Linked DNA regions of Oryzias latipes. The protein of the gene in region 3 purifies or fractionates together with the protein of the main gene of each other region. This does not show direct contact. Links are inferred from orthologs where the notes say so. Each region holds a gene or a part of one and is shown on either strand. Other genes may lie near its edges.

Region 1 (6,562 bases), on a different chromosome or scaffold from region 3:
ATGAAGTAAAACAACTGTAGGAGTACTGTTATAGAACAGGTTACGTCCATCAGCTGTGAGTGCATTTCTTAGGCTTCAGTGGCATTTTTGGAACCAACAGAGAGTCCCCTGCCTCTTTTCTAATCTGCCACTTAGAAGTCTTTGTGGCTTCTAAATGATTGATTTGTGTATCAAGCTTCAGGTTTAAGATACACATTGAACCCTTCTTTATATCAAGCTTACACAGGGGAGGGAATATACAGAATGACAGAAGGAGAGAATGCTGAAAGAATTACAACAGTAAAGGAAGGAGCAGACAGACAGGCAGGTGGGGGAGGTCATTGTGAAAGGATGCCGCAGGTAAATATTGCTTTTAATGAATATCTAACTTGACATGGAAAAAAAAATGAAAGGCTGAAGTAAATACAAGCCAACTGTGGAGTACTGACAGTGAGATTGTACAACTTCTTGTACTTGAGCTGTGAAGCTACACTGAAAACTGAAAAAGGCAGCCACTTCTCTATGGTAATGTTACTGCATTTACAAATCTCAATTACACAGAATGCACGCCTACACGGCACTGAGTGAAACACCCTCCTTGTGCCAATCACATACATTCAGTGCTAAAAAACATATTGCAAAGCCATTAACAGAAATGTAGCTTAAACTGTTCTAAAGTACCTGGAAAAGACCATGATGGTGGACCACCCCATCCTGGTTGTACAACAAAGAAAGGAGAGAATACTCTGTGTGCAGCAGCATCTTCCCCTGCCTCTCCTCCTGGGTCTCCCCAGCAGAGTCCACCCGCTCCTCCAGCGTCAGGATCTGTCAGGGACACACCACAGAAACACAAGAAAACCACTGAGCTTCAATTGACCTTTTTGCAGATTCATTAAACTATTGAAGGACCAATCATGGAGTTCAAAAGTCTAAATGATCAAAGCTGCTGGGATTGTTTAAAGTAAGATGAGCACTCCAACGGTATGGAGCCTTTAGTGCCTACTGTGCTGCTTTGACTGAAAAAGAAGCGATAAAATCTGCACCAAGACATGCGTGCCAAACCATCACACAATGCATTGGATACATAACTATTTGAAAATAGTTATGTCTATTTTTTACATAATAATTAAGCAATTCATCTTTGTCATGTGCTTTATTGATACCTAAGGATTCTTAATTTTGTCCGATAAAAGTTGATAAATCATGTAATAAAAATGGTAGAACTGGGGTGGGATTATATAAATTTCCTTCCTTCCACTCCCTTTCAAGCAATATTTAATTTTATGTCTAATTATCCTAGGTTTGGTATAGGTCTTTGTATGAATGTATAACAGCTGATTGTATTGTTTTTGTGTATTATTCTTACTTGATTGCTTGAAATAAACCATTTCAAATTAAAAAAAATCTTTTCATTTTTACTGTTCTTTTGAAGGGCAAGCATGACCAAACCAACAAAACAATAATGCGAGTCTGAAACCAAACTTACTTTGAGCTGATAGAAATCATCTGTGCCATCTTTTCTGGCCAAACACTGCACTATGCTCGGTACTGGTGAGTTGCCTAGGCGCGGTCCTGCAAGGATTAGAAAAGCAACAGCTGTGAGACCAAAAGGCAGCCTACATGCTGAAGTGTGTGCTCACACCACAACTTTCTATGTCCTGAGTTTGCACTCAGCCTTAGTGTAAAATACGTTTTTTTGTGCAAAATTTAGAAATTATGAGGAGGTTTTGTGGTGTAGATGTCTTGTGTTTGAAAAAAATGATTAAAACACATTTTCTAGGAAGAAGCCTTGCATCGACCCACACTGAAGCCTTTCTGGCAAATGTCATAGGGATCAGCGACATTCTTAGCATTCTTGTCTTAGCCCTGCATCAGCGTCCATTGTGCAAACACAAGACACCCCAAAACCTCACAGAATCATTTCCTCCGTTTCTGACTCACGCAGGGTTACAGTTTTGAACCACACACATTTCTACCTCAATAGGTTTCTGCGACTTTTCTGAAAGAAAAAAAAACAACAAAAAGCAGCTCGCTTCCATACCAAGGATGAAGGGGCCGGCCCTCTTGGCATTACTGCCAGATATCCCTGTGCACTGCAGCTTGCTGGTTCTGCCTGATGTCTCTCCAGCCCCCCTCTCTGACGAGCGCCGCTTGGACATCCTGGAGCTCTGCGGGAGAACAAATCTGATTAGTTCAAGGGATAAAGATAGTAAAGTTCAAGTGCATGCAAGGGGCTTCAAACTGTGAATGGATGACGTTTTAATAATTGATTTCCAGACAACTTTTTAAGAGTTTACAAATGTAGTTTCTTAGAAAGTAATGCTTCATGAAAATAAAAGGTGTGAAGGGGGTAAAGTTAAGGGCAGCTCCACCTAACCCATTACAAAAAAAAATCCCTCCCCTCACATTTAACCACCTCAGTGTGAAGATGAGGCCATTACAGCTCCATTTAGAATAATGGCTGCAGGCGGCAAGGGCAACACCTCACATTCAATCCCCCCCAAAAGCAAAGAGAGCGTGTCACAATCTGCAATTTAAAACGGAGGGCACTTGCACGCAAATAAAAGGCCATTGCACAACATTCTTGAAACTGAAGCGTTTAAATTTGATTCTCTAATCTGTTCCGGCCTCAGTGGACGTGGGTTTAGAAAAAAAGAAAAAATCTTATGCCCTTAATCTGCATGCTTAACTCAGAATCTTTTCAGCCGTCTTATCTATGCAGATGCCCCTAAAAAAACAAAAACAAATAAAACCTACATGTCCCAACAAAGCGAGAGCTCTGCACAACAGTAAGGAAGCACATTTAAATGGAACCCTAAGCAGTGACAGTGCATCAACATTTAACAAGCTGAACTCAGCACGCCAGATCGCAAGCACCTCCCAGAAATCAGATGTGAAAGGTTTGTTTTCTTAATACTGAGTTACCGTGAGGTGAAACCCCATCTGCTTCCAGTAATGGGGAAGTAGTGCACTAAACTGAAAGGAATGATTCATCCCGCAGTCTTCCAAAGTTTTCTTTAGACGTTGCTCACTTGTTCAATATGTGGAATAACCAAAAATAACAACAAAACTGGAAAATAACTTAAGCAAAATAAGAGATAATGACAGATACAAAAAAAACAAAACAATGACAGCTGGGGTCTGTTTAGTTTAGCAGTTCCATTTCAAGTACAATCCGGCTCAACAACCAACAAGGCATTTAGAGGAAAACTAACATAAAAATAAAAACATGTTGTTATGAGTGCAAAAAATTCCATATTTTCCCCCCTTTCTCCCAACCACTCAGGCCATCTTCCTGTTTCAAAACCAACAAAGGCACTCGCCAGTTGGTGTTTTTGGGCACAGACAAGGTTTGGACAGTTGGCAGTCGGTAAGGGCTCGTATGAATTCTCACTTCCATGAGGCTTTTTGTGATCCCAGACAGCAGACAGTGTCATCATCATGTCTCTCACCCATCTGTCTCCATCTCCACTAGTCATCACCCACTGAGTCTGATGAACTGAGGTTTTCTGACAACATTTGTAGTGCAAGTCAGAGTGACACAAAGTCATGCTGAAAATAGTGCAAATCTGTTGGATGCAAGAAGTAGACAATCAGGACTTGCAGTTGTTGTGAAGCTGCCCGGTGGGAACCTCCGGCGGATGCTAAAGTAAACACGCTTTGCGATACTTCCAGACAAATATTTTTTTTCATCCGAGAAGTAGGAAGGCTGATAAATATTTTAGGCAAACACCTTCGGCAAGAACCGGCAGGCCCCATTTTATTCCGGCACATAATCAGTAAATAAAAAAAAATGTAACTCATGCACCTTGGACTTATAAGACTTCACTGAGTCACTGACAGAATATGCAACGCAACACACAGACCCAAGGCATTTTATCTACCGACTGAAAACCTGCTACAGAGCTGTGGAGCCAAACCCAGACACAGATCTTAAAAGCAAAAGGTCAACACAACCAACGTCTGCACACTGACCTAAATGACATCAGCACGATGACAGCACATAGCGATCCCTTTCTGACACCACTGTGTTCCTCTGCACAGCCAGTGATCTGGCAAGCGAGGCGGCCTCTGCCTGCACAAGAGGGAGGACAGGAGCAGATAGAGCCTCTGAATCATATCATATACAAAAGGAGGAGACATGCTGCGAGTGCCCACGAGAAATGTGGGCTCCTTAAATAGTAGCAGAACAAAACGGCCATGTAGGTGTCTCGAGTTTCTTCCACCCAGACTTGATGCCTATTGTCTGGCTCTGCAAAAAAAAGGACTGCAAAAAAAAAAATAATAATAATAATCAGAGCAGCAAAAAATAGATAATTTAATGGAGTTACTAATTTAATCAAATTAAAGAATGCAACTTCTGTCATCTGCATTTATATTCAAACAAAAGAGTTAGGGAAAATACATTTAAGCTCATGAGCTCTACTTTATAGCTTTTGTTAAAATAAACCCTATTCTACTGCAAAGAGTAAATGCCCTTGATCACTGGACCACGGGGAGGACACAAGGTTAAACCGAAACCACCTGACCAAAATAACAACGAATGCACAGCCACTATTACACTGTTTGGTGCCATTTTGAGTTGCAAAGTCTGGAGATTTGAGTTGTGCTGGTGCAGCAGGCAGTGTGAACAATGACGAGTCAACGCTAACGCGGTGTTTACTTAGCGACAACCCACAATCCACCAACTGAAAGATGAAATGTTTAAAATATATCCTGTTTTGAACGGTTAATATTGCACTGCGGACGTGGGTGTTACACGAAAACACTGACCTTTTACGCTGCATTTCTTCCTGTATGTCCTTATTAATATATATATTTTTAAAAACCCGACACCAAGCTAGGGAATGCAAAACTTAACACGAGACGAAACCAGAATATACTGACCGGAGACGAGGCTACAAACGGGTTGCACTGACTTAGCCAGACAAAGTGGGACGCACTGCACTGCAGCGAAAGAAGACAGAGTTTAGCTTCCCGTGCGAACTAAGACCATTGCTTCAACCAAACTGCTCAAACAGACGCTGCTTCTTCACCGTGTTCCTTTGTTTACCAGAAAGGTTGAAATATGCTTGTTGGCAAACAACGCTGGCTAACGTCAAGTCGGAGCGGTCTGTAGCAGCCGGGAGGCCATTTAAACAAAGTAGCCAACACTTCAGCTGGCTAACAGTGCCGCGAGAGCTAAATAGCAACGCAGTCGACCCCCCTCGCTTACCTCGAGCCAAAACCACCGGGAAAGATTTGCGTTGACTGCTTTTAAAACATGGACATTTCTTGGTTCACGGCCACGGTGGGTGTGTGGGGAGCTCCTCGTTCAAACGACGAACGACACGGCGCCTTATTTTCGGGCTGCTTAGCTTCTAAGACTGAAATGAGCAATTAAAGAAAAGCCTCCGCTCCAAGCTGATCGCATCTTTCCACAGCGACAGCACCACCTGACAACGGAAGTGACGCACACTTAGATTTGATTGACAGCTTCCTACAACCAATGGCAACAGCCGCTGCACACCGATGATGACATTCTCTGCATAATAAAAGTTGCAAAATGAAACCATTACATCATGACAGTACTCAGTACTGGAAGAGTTGAATACGTTTACAAAAAGCAATTTTTAAAAAATAGGAATTTAAGTTTATCTAAATTTAAGATAAAAACTATGTACTTAAAAAAATTAGAATGAAAACAAAATCGATTGTCTAGTCCAAAAAGTTTGAAATAATTTACAATAAAATAAAAATCTAGGATAATAAGATGTATAGCCCTTTCTGTCTCAAACTAGTACTTCTATTGTAAACAAGTAGCTTCCACGCAAAGAATTGGTGTAAAATATTACAAAACCAGCATGTTCACAGTGTCAGGAGTTAATGAGTAAGTGAAACTTGATAAGTGAGACATCACACCCTAAATATGTCCTCTGAATAATACAGGAGACTTTAATATCACTGGGATACTTTTGCTGTCAAAATGCTTCATAAGTAGTGACATTTGTTTAAGACTGTTGGAGGAATGGTCTTTTAACATGCAACTGAGCTCTCCAAGAGGCAGTTTGTGACTCATTTGGTGTGTAAGCACATTTCTGAGTTGCTGACATTTCAGCAAGCCCACCTATATTCCCAATTTAGACTGGCTGATTGATCCTGAAGTCCACCCCCAGCTACCAGTTTCCAACAAGTGGGCAGATGTGACAGACACAGAGAGGGAAACCCAAATGGCAGAGCTTGATTTGAGTCGCACTGGTCCTCCTGTCTTGACTCAGCACAACATGTGCCCCCGGCCACATGAAATGCATACCAGGCAATGGCTTTACAGTGCCCTGCCCACACTCTTGAAAGAGGAAACTGAATCATAACTGAACTGCAGGTAAGGAAGAGAGACATTTGAGTTTAGAATTAAAATACTCTTAGTAAATGCCTTTGAGAAAAGCGGAAGTTTTAGATTTTGAACAGTTTTAAAAGATGTATGGAGACGTACACTTTGCGCCATTTCTTTAGTGCAATGAATATTTTGCACATATATTCACAGCAGTGATTTAAAAAGCTATACATTACTAATTGTGCTTTCTGAAAGGTCTTGCTGAATAGC
Region 2 (6,381 bases), on a different chromosome or scaffold from region 3:
ATGCTCTTAAGAGTGAGCAAAGGCGGCTCAAAGTTTCGCCTCCAACTGTAGCAAACGGCTAGCTATGCTAAAGGTGTGAATTGTGAAACAATCGACCCTGACTGCTCGGTCCTACCTGATGTTCCTTGACAACTTCACTGAGACAGGGGTAGCGCTCCGAGATCCAACGGTAAAATTTGGGTACTCCCATCTTCGTCACAAAGCTCTAGACTGTAAAAATGTTAACACTGAAAGGTTATCTCTAAGTACTCTCAAATGTTTGACTCGGTAACATCAGAACTTGCTTTAGAGTCCGGCTTTGTTTCCGTTTGCTAGCTAGTTGTCCATCCGCTAAACTACTCCGCATGTATTTGGAAAACAACAGTAAAACATAAGTTCCGCTCACCAGTTTCCTTTGGCGTATTTTTCAGTTGACAAAAATCTTTTCGATTGAAGATTTACGAAAAAACACGTTTTATCTTTGTACGCGGTTTCTAAAAATAATACACAACACAGTGTACTTTGTAAGATAGTTAAGTTCCATATTTTTGTTTATTTTTGAACGGCTGCGTATAGTGTTACTAGCACATAAATTCGTTTGGCTTTCCATTTATTTGTGTTGAACTTTTGTTTGTGTTGTAGGCATTGCGACAACTTCAACAGATGAACCTAAGCGGAAAAACACCGTTTTTCCTTTTTACATTAATTTTCAGGCTATTATAATTTAAAGAATGTAATTTTTCTGGTAAATTGTACTGAAAAGTCAAAAGAGAAATGCAATTTTGTATTTTTTTCTTGAGTCGAGAGCTGAAAATATTATTTTAGTATAGCTCTGCATAAAGTACAGTTTATCCATCTGTATGTTGGTTTTTCAAAATGAGACTAAAAATTAAATATAGAAAAACATTACTATACTAAGGGTAAAAACAAAAAATATACAGTATTTGGTAATACAGCTCTGGCATTCTAATAGGCTTTCAATATCTTTTTAAATATAGTACTTGACATCTAGAAATAAAATCGGCCTTCTTCTTGCTTGCTTTTAGGAGCATAATTATATGTATTTATCATTTTGGGTAATACTTAGTCCCTAGTTTTAACAACAGTAGATTTTTTTTCCTTTTATGAATTGATAATGCATTTTACTGAAATTATTTTCAGCATTGTGGTAAAGGTTTCAATTAAACATTTTATTATTCGTGTTCTTAACGGTGAGTCAGGTCTGTTGGAAATTCTGTATATTCCCGTTTTAATTATTTGTTCTGTGTACTGTTAATATTCTCATTCAGGTAAGTAGCTCTGTGGCCAGGAACAAATTTCCTCTCTGAGGACAAAGTTTACCTCACCTTAGTACAATTACGTATGTGCTAACCTCAACTTTTTATCTTAGATTTCCTCATTTGTACTAAAAAAAAAAAGCTGGTTTGTCATATTTTCCAAGCAACCTATTGCATTGTAATTAAAGAGAATATCAAAGACTTTCAAAAAGCACACATACCAAAATGTTTTAAATAATTTATTGTTAGGCAAATACAAAACACCTCTCTTATTCATCAATCATAAAATTGGCAGATCCTGGTGGCTTCTTCAATCCTTCCATTATTCTTTTTTTACATGTCCTTGTGGAACTCCACAAAAACTGGTAGCGGCGCCCAAAATGCAATGATACTCAGTTCATGCCTGCAGTTGTGCATTAAAAACAAAATAAAAAGAAACATCCCAGTGCTACTTTGAAAGAACTTCATCTGAGGCTTTGTGGTTATCAGTTTACAACAGTCCTAATCCATCAAAAAGTCCAGTTCCACTAACTGCAGGTTGAATCAAGCAACAATAGCTGTGGTTATAGAAACAAACACGTGGAGTATCATTTTGTTCTGAGAAAAAGATACGCTGAGATGCTACGTTGCTTTTGCCAGAAAAACTGCTGTACACTTGACAAAATGAAATTCAAGTCACCTTTATTAAAAAAAAAAAAAAAAACCCTGCTGTCTCCCAATCTGGAAAAACAAACAAAATATACAACAAAAAGAACAACACAAATAGGGAATAAACTGGACAGCTGACAGAGGGGGAATTTAAGTTTGCATGTTTTGTTTTGTGCTTTGGCCTTTAAAAGACAAAATGCAGGAGGTTGCATTTATCTGAATTGCCTTTGACAGAAATGGTTAAAGAGTTAAAAAGTCAAAAGTAAAAAAATAATAAGATTTGGTATAAAACCAGAGAGAGGTGTTGTATTGTGGCTGACAAACTGTGACGGATTAGGAACAAAACCGCTTTCCTCTGTTTTGTGCCCCAGCTTGGTTCTTTAACGGTAAAGCTCAAACGCCGGCACATCTCCGCCTGCTGTACTGGTGCCACGGGCCGACATTTGTCTGATGTCACACGCACACAAAGCTCAGTGAAATAACAGATGGATTCCGTTTCTTTTTGCTCCTCCGTTGATCAGCAGGCGATCTCCCCATTCACGGCTGACCCCTGCCCCCCTAAAGATAGAGGTCATGATAGCCCAAGCCTGGCAGGAATTCAGACAAGTTCAAGAACCTGTCAGGGAGGAATAGATACAGACATTTAGATGTTTTAAAGACATTTTTTTCTTTATTAAGCAATTTTTTGACAAACCACTCCCCCTCCCCCCCCCCCCCCCCCCAAATAATTGCAATTGTATTTTTTTTCCTGGTAAATTCTCATTAAATGGGAGGAATTATGCACTGATACTGGAATAATAAAAAAAAACTCAAACAGATGTTTTTAAGAGCTGTAAACATTTAACGGTACTATTAAAAAGAAAACATCTTTTTTGTATATTTTTTAAAACACCAACCTTGATAGTTCCTTGACTGTTCGCAGCAATGAGAACATTTGACTCCTAAAAGCAAATCATTTTGAATAAATCAGAGGTATTTTATGTAAATGAAAGCCTTGTTTAAAATATTGACAAAAGCCTTAAAGTATTGCTTACAATGGCAGAATTGAAAAAAGTATAGTTGACCAGTGAAGTGACACTTACTCCATCAGGCAGGGCTCTCCAGCAGACGGCACTCACAAACTCATTGGTGTCATCTTCTTTCTTGTCTTTGTCCAAAACACTCTTCACCGTGTCGAACTTGAATGTTAACAGTGTTTTGGAAAGTCCTTTGTAATACAGGTACAGGGAGTTGTTCTCACTTCCTAAAATGGACATAAAAACACTTTATATTAATGGCTAGTCTTTAAACATCAGCGTCAACGTTTCAAATGAACGTATACCACAGGCAACATAGTCTCCATTTGACGCCAGTCCAACAAAGTTCTTCTCGTTGATGTGACCCTTAAAGGAGCGCAGGCAGTGAGGTTTGTTGACGTTCCAAAGCTTCAGCTGGCTGTCCGTCGAACTATGAACACAGAACATGTACTCTTTATATGTGTGTGCACAAATCCTTCTTTATCCTATTTTTTTAGTTTTGGTTATTAAGTAGTTTCTTTACAGTTTTAAAAGCATTGTTTGAGAAGTCTAAATATGCAAGAAAGCTGCTAAAAATATGAAAGCGTATTTTAATCAATTTAGCTTCTGTGAAAGAAATAAACTTAGCGGCTCTCGTTTAAAGCTTTAAAATGTGTTTTTCTCACCTCTGTTCATGTGTTATATAGGATTATATAGGAACCAGACTAAATGTTAAATATTTGTTGATCTGTTTTGCCACTAGCACAGGATGATCTCTATTAATTGTATTATTAACATAAAAGTTTTAAAATTAATAAAATTAAAGTCCTTAATAGAAAACGTTAAGCAGTAAGACGTTGTCTGTCATTGCATTTTTAAAATATACTAAAATATTTAACATTTAAAAACAAATACACGATTACTTAAAACATTAAAGATGGAAGCAAAGGTAAACAGACTTACGCAGAAACGATTTCTTCCCCATTTACAAACTTAGCGTAGGACACGGCCTTCCTGTGGCCTTTGAAAACCATGATTGGCTGCTTAGTGTTGCGGAGATCGTAGTAGTGGACACAGTGGTCTGCGGACAAAAGAGATAAATTTCACAAAATGTTCAAATTGGGCCAGAAAATGATGAAGCACAACTGTTGTTGCTTTCTGTCAATAAAAACATGATGGTATTAAACCACAAACATTACATTTTTTCCTGATCTGCAACTCTGTGGTTAGTTTTGGTACTAAAAAAAGAAAATTATTTTAGTCTTTTATTTTCCAATCTCCTAGCTGCACTCCGAACGTAAACCAAGAATGAAAACTTACAGCAAAGTACCACACAGTTTCTGCTCAGAGTTAGAATACTTACACGAATACCCCTATAATAAAATATCTATGATCATTCATAGATATTCTTCTGTCAGGACATAATAAAGTTCTTTTGGATTGTTCAGGATTAATTGTCTTTCAAACAAACAAAAAGAAAAACAGTTGAGATGTGATGCTGAATAAAATAAAAGAAATACAATATTATATAGCAATGACAGAAAACATTTTTAATGCTCCTTAACTGAGGAAAAACCTTGAATATGTTAGCGTGACACTACATTGTCCCTTTACTTTCTAAAAAGAATAAAACACTGTTTGTATCCAGTTCTGTTAAAAGGAGTTAGGCTCTCTCTCTCTTTGTTTAAAATCAATTTGTATTTTGTATCTAAATAGCCGAAATTGCAAAATCTTAAGCGAGAGCAACAGTTCTCTTTTCTTTCTAAAAGCTTGTCTGTTTTGACTTTTTTTATATATAAATTCCACCTACATTATGCAACATTTTCAGGGGTTAAAAAAAAGTGCTTTTTGTTGTGAAAAATTAGAAGTAAAAAAAAAAAACAACTTAAGAAATTACCTCTAGAATTTCTTTACAGAGCAAAAATCAAACTATGAAAAAGATCTGGTAGAAGAATGCACTAAAATTGACTTAAAAAGTCTCCAAAGACATTTTTAAAGAATTATTATAATTCCTGAATGACGAGAGTTTAGTGCCCATAGAATTCTGAAATGTAATATTTTATGGTTACCAACCAAAGAAATTCAGAAATGCAGCCGATGACAATCATACCTCCCTACCCAACTTTGACTGAAGAACATATGAAAATTATATCATTTTATTTTTAACAAAATCTTTAATTTTATAGAGTACAAGCATTTCAGAAGAGAAACTAGACCCCCAAAATACTTGTGATAAAAGTGAGTGGTTTATAATTTGAGTTGGGGTTGTTGAAGGTAATTTGAACGATTCCACTTTTACAGTTTTTTAATTAATTTAGTAATATTATATTGACGACAAAAGCTGTTAAGGATTTTGCCAAACGCTTTATTCAATAAGCACACAACATGAACCAAAATAAGAGCAGAGTTTAGTTCCTTCTTGCAGAATACAGAAACAGAATAACTAAAGTAGATGTGGGAAGATATTTCAATTAATATAACCTCTTAACAAATGCAGAAAAACACTAAACCAACTGAAAAATAAGCAGATAAAGTGAGGATTGAAGAAATTACCTGCACAGCCGAATGCCAGATGATACCTGGATGTTGGGCTAAATTTAACGCAGCATACGTTAGCTTTAGCCTCGATGCTCGCTACTGAGTTGTCCAGATTGGTTGACCACAGCTTTACTGAAAAAGAATGTTGGAAATCTCTAACACGATTGATGAGGATGACGTGTTCAGACGAGGGCCAAATCTTTACCTTTAGCATCATCAGAGCCGGAAGCTAAAAGTTTGGGGTCCATCAGATTAAAGTCGACACTCCAACACCTTTTTTCATGTTCCTGAAAAGAACAACAGTGGAGGGTGTCACTGCAGATTAGGCTAATCAGTCAGAAGATAAAAGGATATGAACAGTTTTATCACAACACTTTCAACTCTAGTCATCACACCTGGTAGACTTTGGACCGCTGGCCGGTGAATCCATCCCACAGAATGACGGTTCCCTCATAATCGCTGCTAGCCAGAAGGTTCTTATGATAACTACTCCAGCTGATGCAGCTGCAATGAAGAAACAGATCTTCAAATGTAGATTCTTGTCAACCAAAGCTGGCAGAAATTTTTTTTTTTCCTGTTCATATGTGCATATCTGAAATTCTTTTTTTTTTTTCATTCATGGAGCACAGTTTTAAGCAAAACCTAGTCTCTGTCGAGGAATGAATTCCTTTACCTGATTTTGGAATTGCAGGTCATTTCGTTCACAGGATAGTGGATGTCCACGGCATCCTGGATCACGGTGCCGTACTCAAACACCTTGATCTTCTTGGTCACACCAGCAATGGCAAAGTAGTCACAGTCACGGTCAAACTCGATACTGAAACACACGCGAAGATGGAGTCAGTGATCAGACTTCTCCCTCATTTTAGGTACGGTAATCGTTTCCTACGACAACAAAATCGGAATTTTGGCTTTAACCCTTCAACTCCAGCACGTTAGTGCCA
Region 3 (7,240 bases):
AATGTTTTTGCACTCTCTCAATTGATGTATCATTAATAATAATTTGCACTGGCACTTCCTTACTCTGTCTCCTAAATAGCATAAATGTAGTCTTTTTTAGATTCAAAGATAATTTGTTCCTACTAAACCAATGTTTTAACTTGTAAAATTCCTGAGTTATTTCACTTAGAAGTTTCTCTAGTTAGGCTACCTTCACACTGCAGGCTGAAACAACACACTTCCGATGTTTGCCCCTATGCGACCTGTATCTGATCTTTTTATGACAGTCTGAACGATACAGATCCGATTTTTTCAAATGCGACCCAGGCCACTTGGGTATGTGGTCCTGAATCCGATACGTATCTGATCTTTTGGGGTTAACTTCCCTGTTTGGACCCTCAGATTCTCCAGAGCGGGTCAATAAAGAGTCAATAGCATTTATTCTGGGGGAATCCTTCTTTTATTACCGTTCTCCTTCCTCCATAACACACAACATGAATGCGCGCCCCCACTCCCGGCTCCAATGCCTTCTTAAAAACAGAAGATTGTAATTGTGCTGGCTCCTTTGTGAAAATAAATTTATTAATGCTACAAGGGACTCCGCTGTTGACAACACTGTTGTTGACATCCATTGTTAACGTAAGCCACTTCCGCAAACAACGAGTGACGTCGTTCACCGTTGAGTACTATTCTGCGCATGCGGGTCACTTCTGGGTCATTTCACGGTCACACAGGAGATCACAAAAATTCACATTTAATTGGAAATGTGAACGGCCTTTTCAAAAAAATCGGAATTCAGCATTAAGCCCTGTAGTGTGAACGTAGCCTAAGTTCTGACCTGAACATAAAATGCTGGTATCGTCTGCAAAAAGTATGAATTTCATAATTTGTGATAACTTGCATAGATCATTAATGTGAAGTAAAAACAGAGTTGGTCCAATAATTGAACCTTGAGGTATATCGCATATGATACTCCTATTTTTAGATTTATTATTACCAATCGGTACAAACTGCTATTTATCCATCTATTTATATGATGTTTGATTAAGGAACTTTTTTTTCATTATTATCATTTTTAAATAAAAGTCATGCATGTAAATCTCTGTGAACATTTTTATCAATCTGGTTCCAAAGCAGAAAAACAGTTTTTAAACTTCAGGACTTTTAAATTGAAAACCTTTCACTTCTTATCCAACAAGCTTTCTCAATTGAAAGATCAATCCTTGATCTTAAAAAACTAAGTCCAGATGAACTTTTACAGACTTGTTCCTCCATGCATATGTCTGCAAGACTTTCTTTGAACTATTATCATCTGTATAATCCAGGTATATTTTAAGATCTGCAAACAAAAGTAGATTATGTTTTTGCATAACAGTTTTTGCACGCCCAAAGACCTGAAAGAACCGATAGAGTGTAAAGCAAACAGTGTCAGTGGGACTCATTTGGAAGCTTCTGTTCTTGGCAACCAGTCAGCCAAAGCGATCTAACAACCCAGCCGGGCTGCTCGGTGTCTGGTTTCATTCCGTTGCTCTATGGAGTCAGCAAGCAGAAAAGAGCCGCTGGTGAAACCAACAGCGCAGACAGAGCTCTCACTCTGCTCTACTTTCTCTGCACCTCTCATCCTACCGCTGCCGGTTTACAATTTAATTAGACGGAGGAGTCCCTCTGCAATACAGATACGATCTTTGTTCCTTCTTTTGCGTCACTGACGCGAAGGGGTTGGGTGTTGCTCGGCAACCAGGAATGTTCAACAAAACACAAAAGTGGGGAGAAAAGTCGTAATAAATGAAACACTGTCGTCCTTTGACATGAACAAATGACCACAATGACACCACTGTAAATAATTTAGACTTTAATTATTAAACTGATACATTTAAAATAAACCAAAAATAGTTATAGATTTTATAATAGCCATTACCACTTTTTTCTTTAGAGGGGTTATCATAAATTTATGTAAACATATAATTATGTAAAGTAATTGCAGCATATTATAGCGGTGCACACTTCTGCTATTTAATTACATTTTTATAAGAACTAGACATTAAAAAAAAATATAACAAGCATAATTCTGTATACATGTTACCTGGGTTCAATACCCAGGGCGTGCAATGAGCTGCCTGGGTCTCCCTGTGCCTTGAAAAGACAGGCCTGTGTCAGGAACGGCATCTGGCGTAAAAACTCTCTTCCAAACCACCTGTGCTGAGTGCTGTGGAGACTCATAACGGGATGAACCGAAAGGTGAACAACCTATTTTATAGATATTTCCATATACAAATCAGCAAGCAAATGTAAAACAAAATAAATAAGCAAAAGGTTGTCTTATTATCAAACTTCCTTAAGAGCACTGAGTCAGGATTATTGGCCCAGCTTCAAAGCTGCCTCTTGTTGTCCCTTTTAGGTGACAGTTGCTGAGTGGGATTTAAATCAAGTGAAAGGTGGAGGATTCCCTCTTTCCTTTGGGGGAAGACCTTTGTGAAGAGCTGGGCACACCTCACCTAGACTAAACTAATCCGCTGTCTAGGACAACTATTGCAAACAAAGCAATTGCGAGCTGAACACGCCCTTTTATGGGAACAAGCATTGCATCAGGGTCAGGGTGTGAACTTCTGTCCCACTTTGAACTGTTCTTAATTATGTTTATCCAAATAGAAAAATCACCGCGTGGAAAAAGATTTCCACATTTTAAATATGTGTCCAAATAAAAAAGTAAGATACAAAACTGGATAAAGAGGAGAAAAAAAATGAAACCAGAAGAGAACGATCATTTCCCTTAACTGTAACTTCGTGTGACATTTAATCCCCCAAAATCTGGATGTTTAGTTTTTGTTTACTGTTCTTGTTTGGGCAGAACAAACTTTTCGTATCGTTATCCCGTTTCTTTTGCAGTTTTTTTTTCAGCAGCCTCGCTGTTTGTTGTCTTACGTAAGGTCGTGTCGCCGCTCGGCCAATGTCGGATGGTGTGTTTCCCATCAAGGTCCGCCCCTTTACAGGATGCACCATATATGGTAAATGACGTAGGATTCGGGGATCCCGATCCTGTTTATGGAATATTCCATTTCTTGTCAAATTGAACATTAAACGAGCTCCAACGGGTTTCTTTTTGCTGTTTTATTACAAATAACTTGTGTTTTCGCTAACTATGACTGTATATTGACGAAACAAAAGCCATAATTCCCGCCACAGCGGCGTTGCTATGTGATTGTTTGGCGCTTTCACTCTCACGGTTTTAGGCTCCTCCCCCGCGCTGCGTCACACCACCAGGAGGATATAAAACCGATCTGAGCGGCTGGAGCAACTAGATCAACTTCGATTAGCAAAGTAGAAAGTCCTGCTCCATTTCAGAAGAAGCGCTCAAGGAACTTTCTCAAAGCCACAAAAAGGAATTTACCCACTTTTGAGAGGAGTTTTACTGGAATCTTCCTTCTTGTTTTCTCCGGGAAGTATGATGTTCACCGCCTTCAGCACAGATTGCGACTCTTCCTCCCGCTGCAGCACCGCGTCTCCGTCCGGAGACAACCTGGAATACTACCCGTCACCTGCGGGCTCTTACTCCAGCATGGGATCTCCTCAGTCTCAGGTAAATTGAAACGACGATTGCTTAGATGGCTTCACAGTCTTTTTGAACTTTAATTTATAATTAAATTGAGTGAAAGTCAGTGGGCCAGGTTAATTCAAAACTTTTTCAAATTAATTTGAACATTTTAGAATTAATAAATAAAACCTGAAAACAAGCTACTTTTTTTTTTTATAAAGAGTCATAAAAAATTAATTAAGGAGCATGTTTGTCCTGCTGCACACAGAGCAAGGCAGTTTTCACTCCACCGAGGATACATAACGTCAGAGCTGACATCATTGAGATATTTTTAAAGCCCAGTGTTTTAAAACCCTCCTGAAAGCATCACTAACTTCCCGACTCCCCTCCCTCTTTCTCTCAGGATTTCACTGACCTGACAGCATCAAGTGCCTCCTTCATCCCCACGGTCACAGCCATTTCAACAAGTCCAGACCTGCAGTGGATGGTCCAGCCTGTGGTCTCCTCAATGGCCCCCTCCCACAGAGCTCACCCTTACAGCTCCAGCCCCAGTCCTGCTTACCCCAGATCATCCCTGAGGTCTTCATCCAAGGCTTGCTCTTCCAAACGTGGCAAAGTAGAAAAGGTGAATTATCTTTTTTTTTTCTAAATCTCAAGTGATGCAACAGCTGAAATGTGTTTTTAGAGCTGGAGTCTCAACTTGTTGTTTTGTTCTTGCAGATAAGCCCTGAGGAGGAAGAGAAGAGACGAATCCGCAGAGAGAGAAATAAGCAGGCAGCAGCTAAATGCCGTAACAGGAGGCGAGAGCTCACAGACACCCTTCAAGCTGTAAGTATCCCTTCAGATTTACCCTCACTTATTGAAAATGTGTTCTTTCCCAGAGCTTAATAACCAATCCAACATCCCACTAAGTGACACTTTCTTTCTTTCCCATCTGATAGGAAACTGACCAGCTTGAGGATGAGAAGTCCAGTCTGCAGAATGATATTGCTAACCTGCTGAAGGAGAAGGAACGGCTGGAGTTCATCCTGGCTGCCCACCAGCCCATCTGCAAAATCCCATCAGAGCTGCAGACCGAGGTTCCCCTGACCTCAATCTCCTCCACCCACCCATACCTCTCCACCACAGAGTCTTCCATGCCCACATTTACCTCCAGCCAGCAAACCATCCCTCCAACTTCCAACTCTATTTTCTCCAGCTCCGTCCTCTCCACCACCACCTCGACCACCACGACCACCACCACCTCCGACAGCACTGTCAAGATGACAGACCTCGAGGCTTCCATTCTGGAGGAGTCTTTGGACCTGCTGGAAAAAGCGGACATAAAGACGGCACAGTCTGTGCCAGAGGTTGACCTTTCCAGCTCCCTCTACAGTAACCAGGAATGGGAGCCTCTTCATGCCTCTTCAACCAACATTGACTTTGAGCCCCTGTGCACACCAGTGGTGACCTGTACTCCAGCCTGCACAACCAACACGTTCTCTCTGGTGTTCAACTTCCCAGAAGCTGAGACCTTCCCCACCTGTGGCGTTGCACACAGGAGGGGAAGCAACAGCAATGACCATCCCTCAGACTCTCTAAACTCACCCACCCTGCTAACTCTTTAAGGACTTTCAATGAAAAAAAAAAGTATTTCCTCCCATCAAGTCTTGAAATATTATCAAACTGTGCAGAGGCATGAGCTTTGGAACAGGAATGCACCAGATGGCAAATCATATGTTACCTGCCTTTATCTCTACTTGCCTATTAACACCAATGTAGCAAGTTATTAAGCATGATTTATATATATTTAAAAAACAAACACCTAGTTGTTCTAAGTTACTATTATATTTATGGTGCTAGATAACAATACTTGTTGTCAATAAATGTGTTTTCAGAGCAATAGCTGTATAATTCTGGTTTGTTTTTTGTTATTTAAATGTCAAAGTAGATTTTTTTTATTTTATTTTTTTCATTAAACTGCTGTGGTGCCATGGTCTGCAAGTCCATCAGACTGTGAAGTTTTCTGTGAAAACATTGTAATTTATGAAATTTGTATTTATTTATTTTTACAGACGAATGTTGTGCAAATAAAAAATATATATTAACGCAGTTATTTGCCTGATTGTCACTTTAATCATATACCTATCGAGAATAATGTTGAGATATTATACACAGGTTTAATTTGAGTGTCTTCCGCTTTCGTAAGCGTCAGTAGCTTCAAGCTATTTTTCTTCTGTTGCCAAGGCTAACTGTACGTCAGGGCTTTGACGTCAGTGCGTTCTCTTGCATTTTCTTTTTGTCCTGAACGCCCTGCGCAATCACGTTGCACTTCCGTGCCCAAATATAGAATTCCAGTGGAGTCGGTGGCTGTGCTGCGGGCTGACGGCTCTTTTTTTTTTTTTTTTTTTTCTCACTTCCGCTTATATTCGCACATCTCAGGGGTTTCTCTGCAAAGAGAGCCACCGAAACTGTCGGTATATCCAACGGAAAGGAACAATAACTACGCTGGTTTGGTAAATTAGTCATTAGCCGTTCTGACCGAAAAAGACGAGACAACAGAGCGGATACAAGATTACGTTTATTTTGATTGACCGTGCCTGAGCAGGGCTTGTTTCGCTGGTACCAAAAGCAAATCATTCTGAATACAATATTTTTATTTTATTTCGTTTTGTTTGATCTGCAGGGTTCATGCACTTCAGTTTATATCAGAATGAAAGAAAAAATCTAATTCTTTATTTTTTTCCTGTTTGGTTTATTTCAATCAGTAAAAACAAAATAAACAATTTAAAAAAGTACATATATCAAACAAATTTAAGACATTAATATGTTGTAATATAAAGTTTTACACAATTTCATATTTACAAATTAACTTAACACTTCTCAAGTTACGATTTGAAATGGTTTGTGTGTTGGAGATGTTGAGTGAAAATGATTTTGTGCACTCCTTGTAAATTTTGTCATAGGATTTTAATCATCTTTCATGTTTGCTCGTCCCTCATCAGTGCTTTTCCTCATGTCATCAGAAGGCAGGTTGCCCAATTATGACAGGAAATTCTGTGTGAGGACAGAATTTCAGCAGACTAAGTCATTTAGGTCACACTCATTTACGTTGCACAAGACAATGTCTAAGCATTTATTGCCTCATGTTATTGGGTGACACGTTAAAAGAAATCTGGTCTTTTAATACTTAAAAAGTGAAATATCATGCTTTAAAACCACTTGATGCTTGGAATAAATCTGTTTTGACCCCCTTTCTTTGATGCCAAGCAGTTGTTGCATAACAGGCGGATTCTGCTTGTCAATTTTTGCTTGCGCTAAAGCTCTTTTTTCCTTCATGAAACTTCTTGGTGTGACCACGCAGTGCCAGGAAAATCTATAAACGTCTCATCGCTGCGCCCGGGGAGACGAGGCAGCGGCAAAAATAACAGCAGGTGCCTATTGCTGCGATAACAGCAGCATCAACAGCAGTAAAATTAGACTGCTGTGACGCCAGCCTGCGTTGGTGCCGCAACCCTTGGGAGAAACCAGCCAGCGTACGCTGATGCAGGGAGAGGAGGAGGAGGAGAGGAGAGAATGACGGGTATACAAGGATGGCAAGGAGGGAGACAGACTCAGATCCCAGCCTCTGAAACTGAGAACAGCAATGATGAAACACTTCGCCTACATGCCAAGAACAAAAGCTCTGTTGGGACTGGCTCTGTTTTCACATAAACTCTTCCTCTGCCACTTTTCTAATGAAGGAAGGTA

Evidence for each region. Proteins that work in one complex are often made in the same cells at the same time.
Region 1: the proteins of c-fos (region 3) and stk40 purify together in Homo sapiens (affinity purification with mass spectrometry; 3 studies listed by BioGRID and IntAct, counting the BioPlex papers as one, with this or other methods). This does not show direct contact. The link is inferred for Oryzias latipes from reciprocal best matches to the Homo sapiens genes FOS and STK40.
Region 2: the proteins of c-fos (region 3) and cop1 purify together in Homo sapiens (affinity purification with mass spectrometry; 4 studies listed by BioGRID and IntAct, counting the BioPlex papers as one, with this or other methods). This does not show direct contact. The link is inferred for Oryzias latipes from reciprocal best matches to the Homo sapiens genes FOS and COP1.

Annotation. Positions count from the first base shown.
Region 1 is NC_019874.2:23,401,789-23,408,350, reverse strand, and holds part of stk40 (serine/threonine-protein kinase 40), read right to left. Parts: intron 5,425-6,562; exon of another isoform or gene 5,195-5,424; intron 4,055-5,194; exon of another isoform or gene 3,955-4,054; intron 2,148-3,954; 5' UTR 2,139-2,147; coding exon 2,021-2,138; intron 1,552-2,020; coding exon 1,466-1,551; intron 805-1,465; coding exon 661-804; intron 1-660. UniProt on the Homo sapiens protein: May be a negative regulator of NF-kappa-B and p53-mediated gene transcription.
Region 2 is NC_019875.2:19,747,133-19,753,513, forward strand, and holds the end of cop1 (E3 ubiquitin-protein ligase RFWD2), read right to left. Parts: intron 6,255-6,381; coding exon 6,111-6,254; intron 5,942-6,110; coding exon 5,833-5,941; intron 5,725-5,832; coding exon 5,643-5,724; intron 5,570-5,642; coding exon 5,453-5,569; intron 3,981-5,452; coding exon 3,863-3,980; intron 3,351-3,862; coding exon 3,226-3,350; intron 3,148-3,225; coding exon 2,987-3,147; intron 2,846-2,986; coding exon 2,801-2,845; intron 2,521-2,800; coding exon 2,503-2,520; 3' UTR 1,481-2,502; downstream 1-1,480. Other genes in the region: xrn1 (5'-3' exoribonuclease 1), read right to left, coding at 116-190. UniProt on the Homo sapiens protein: E3 ubiquitin-protein ligase that mediates ubiquitination and subsequent proteasomal degradation of target proteins.
Region 3 is NC_019882.2:17,150,950-17,158,189, reverse strand, and holds c-fos (c-fos protein), read left to right. Parts: upstream 1-3,276; 5' UTR 3,277-3,421; coding exon 3,422-3,556; intron 3,557-3,914; coding exon 3,915-4,136; intron 4,137-4,231; coding exon 4,232-4,339; intron 4,340-4,452; coding exon 4,453-4,718; coding exon of another isoform or gene 4,719-4,754; coding exon 4,755-5,118; 3' UTR 5,119-5,602; downstream 5,603-7,240. UniProt on the Homo sapiens protein: Nuclear phosphoprotein which forms a tight but non-covalently linked complex with the JUN/AP-1 transcription factor. In the heterodimer, FOS and JUN/AP-1 basic regions each seems to interact with symmetrical DNA half sites.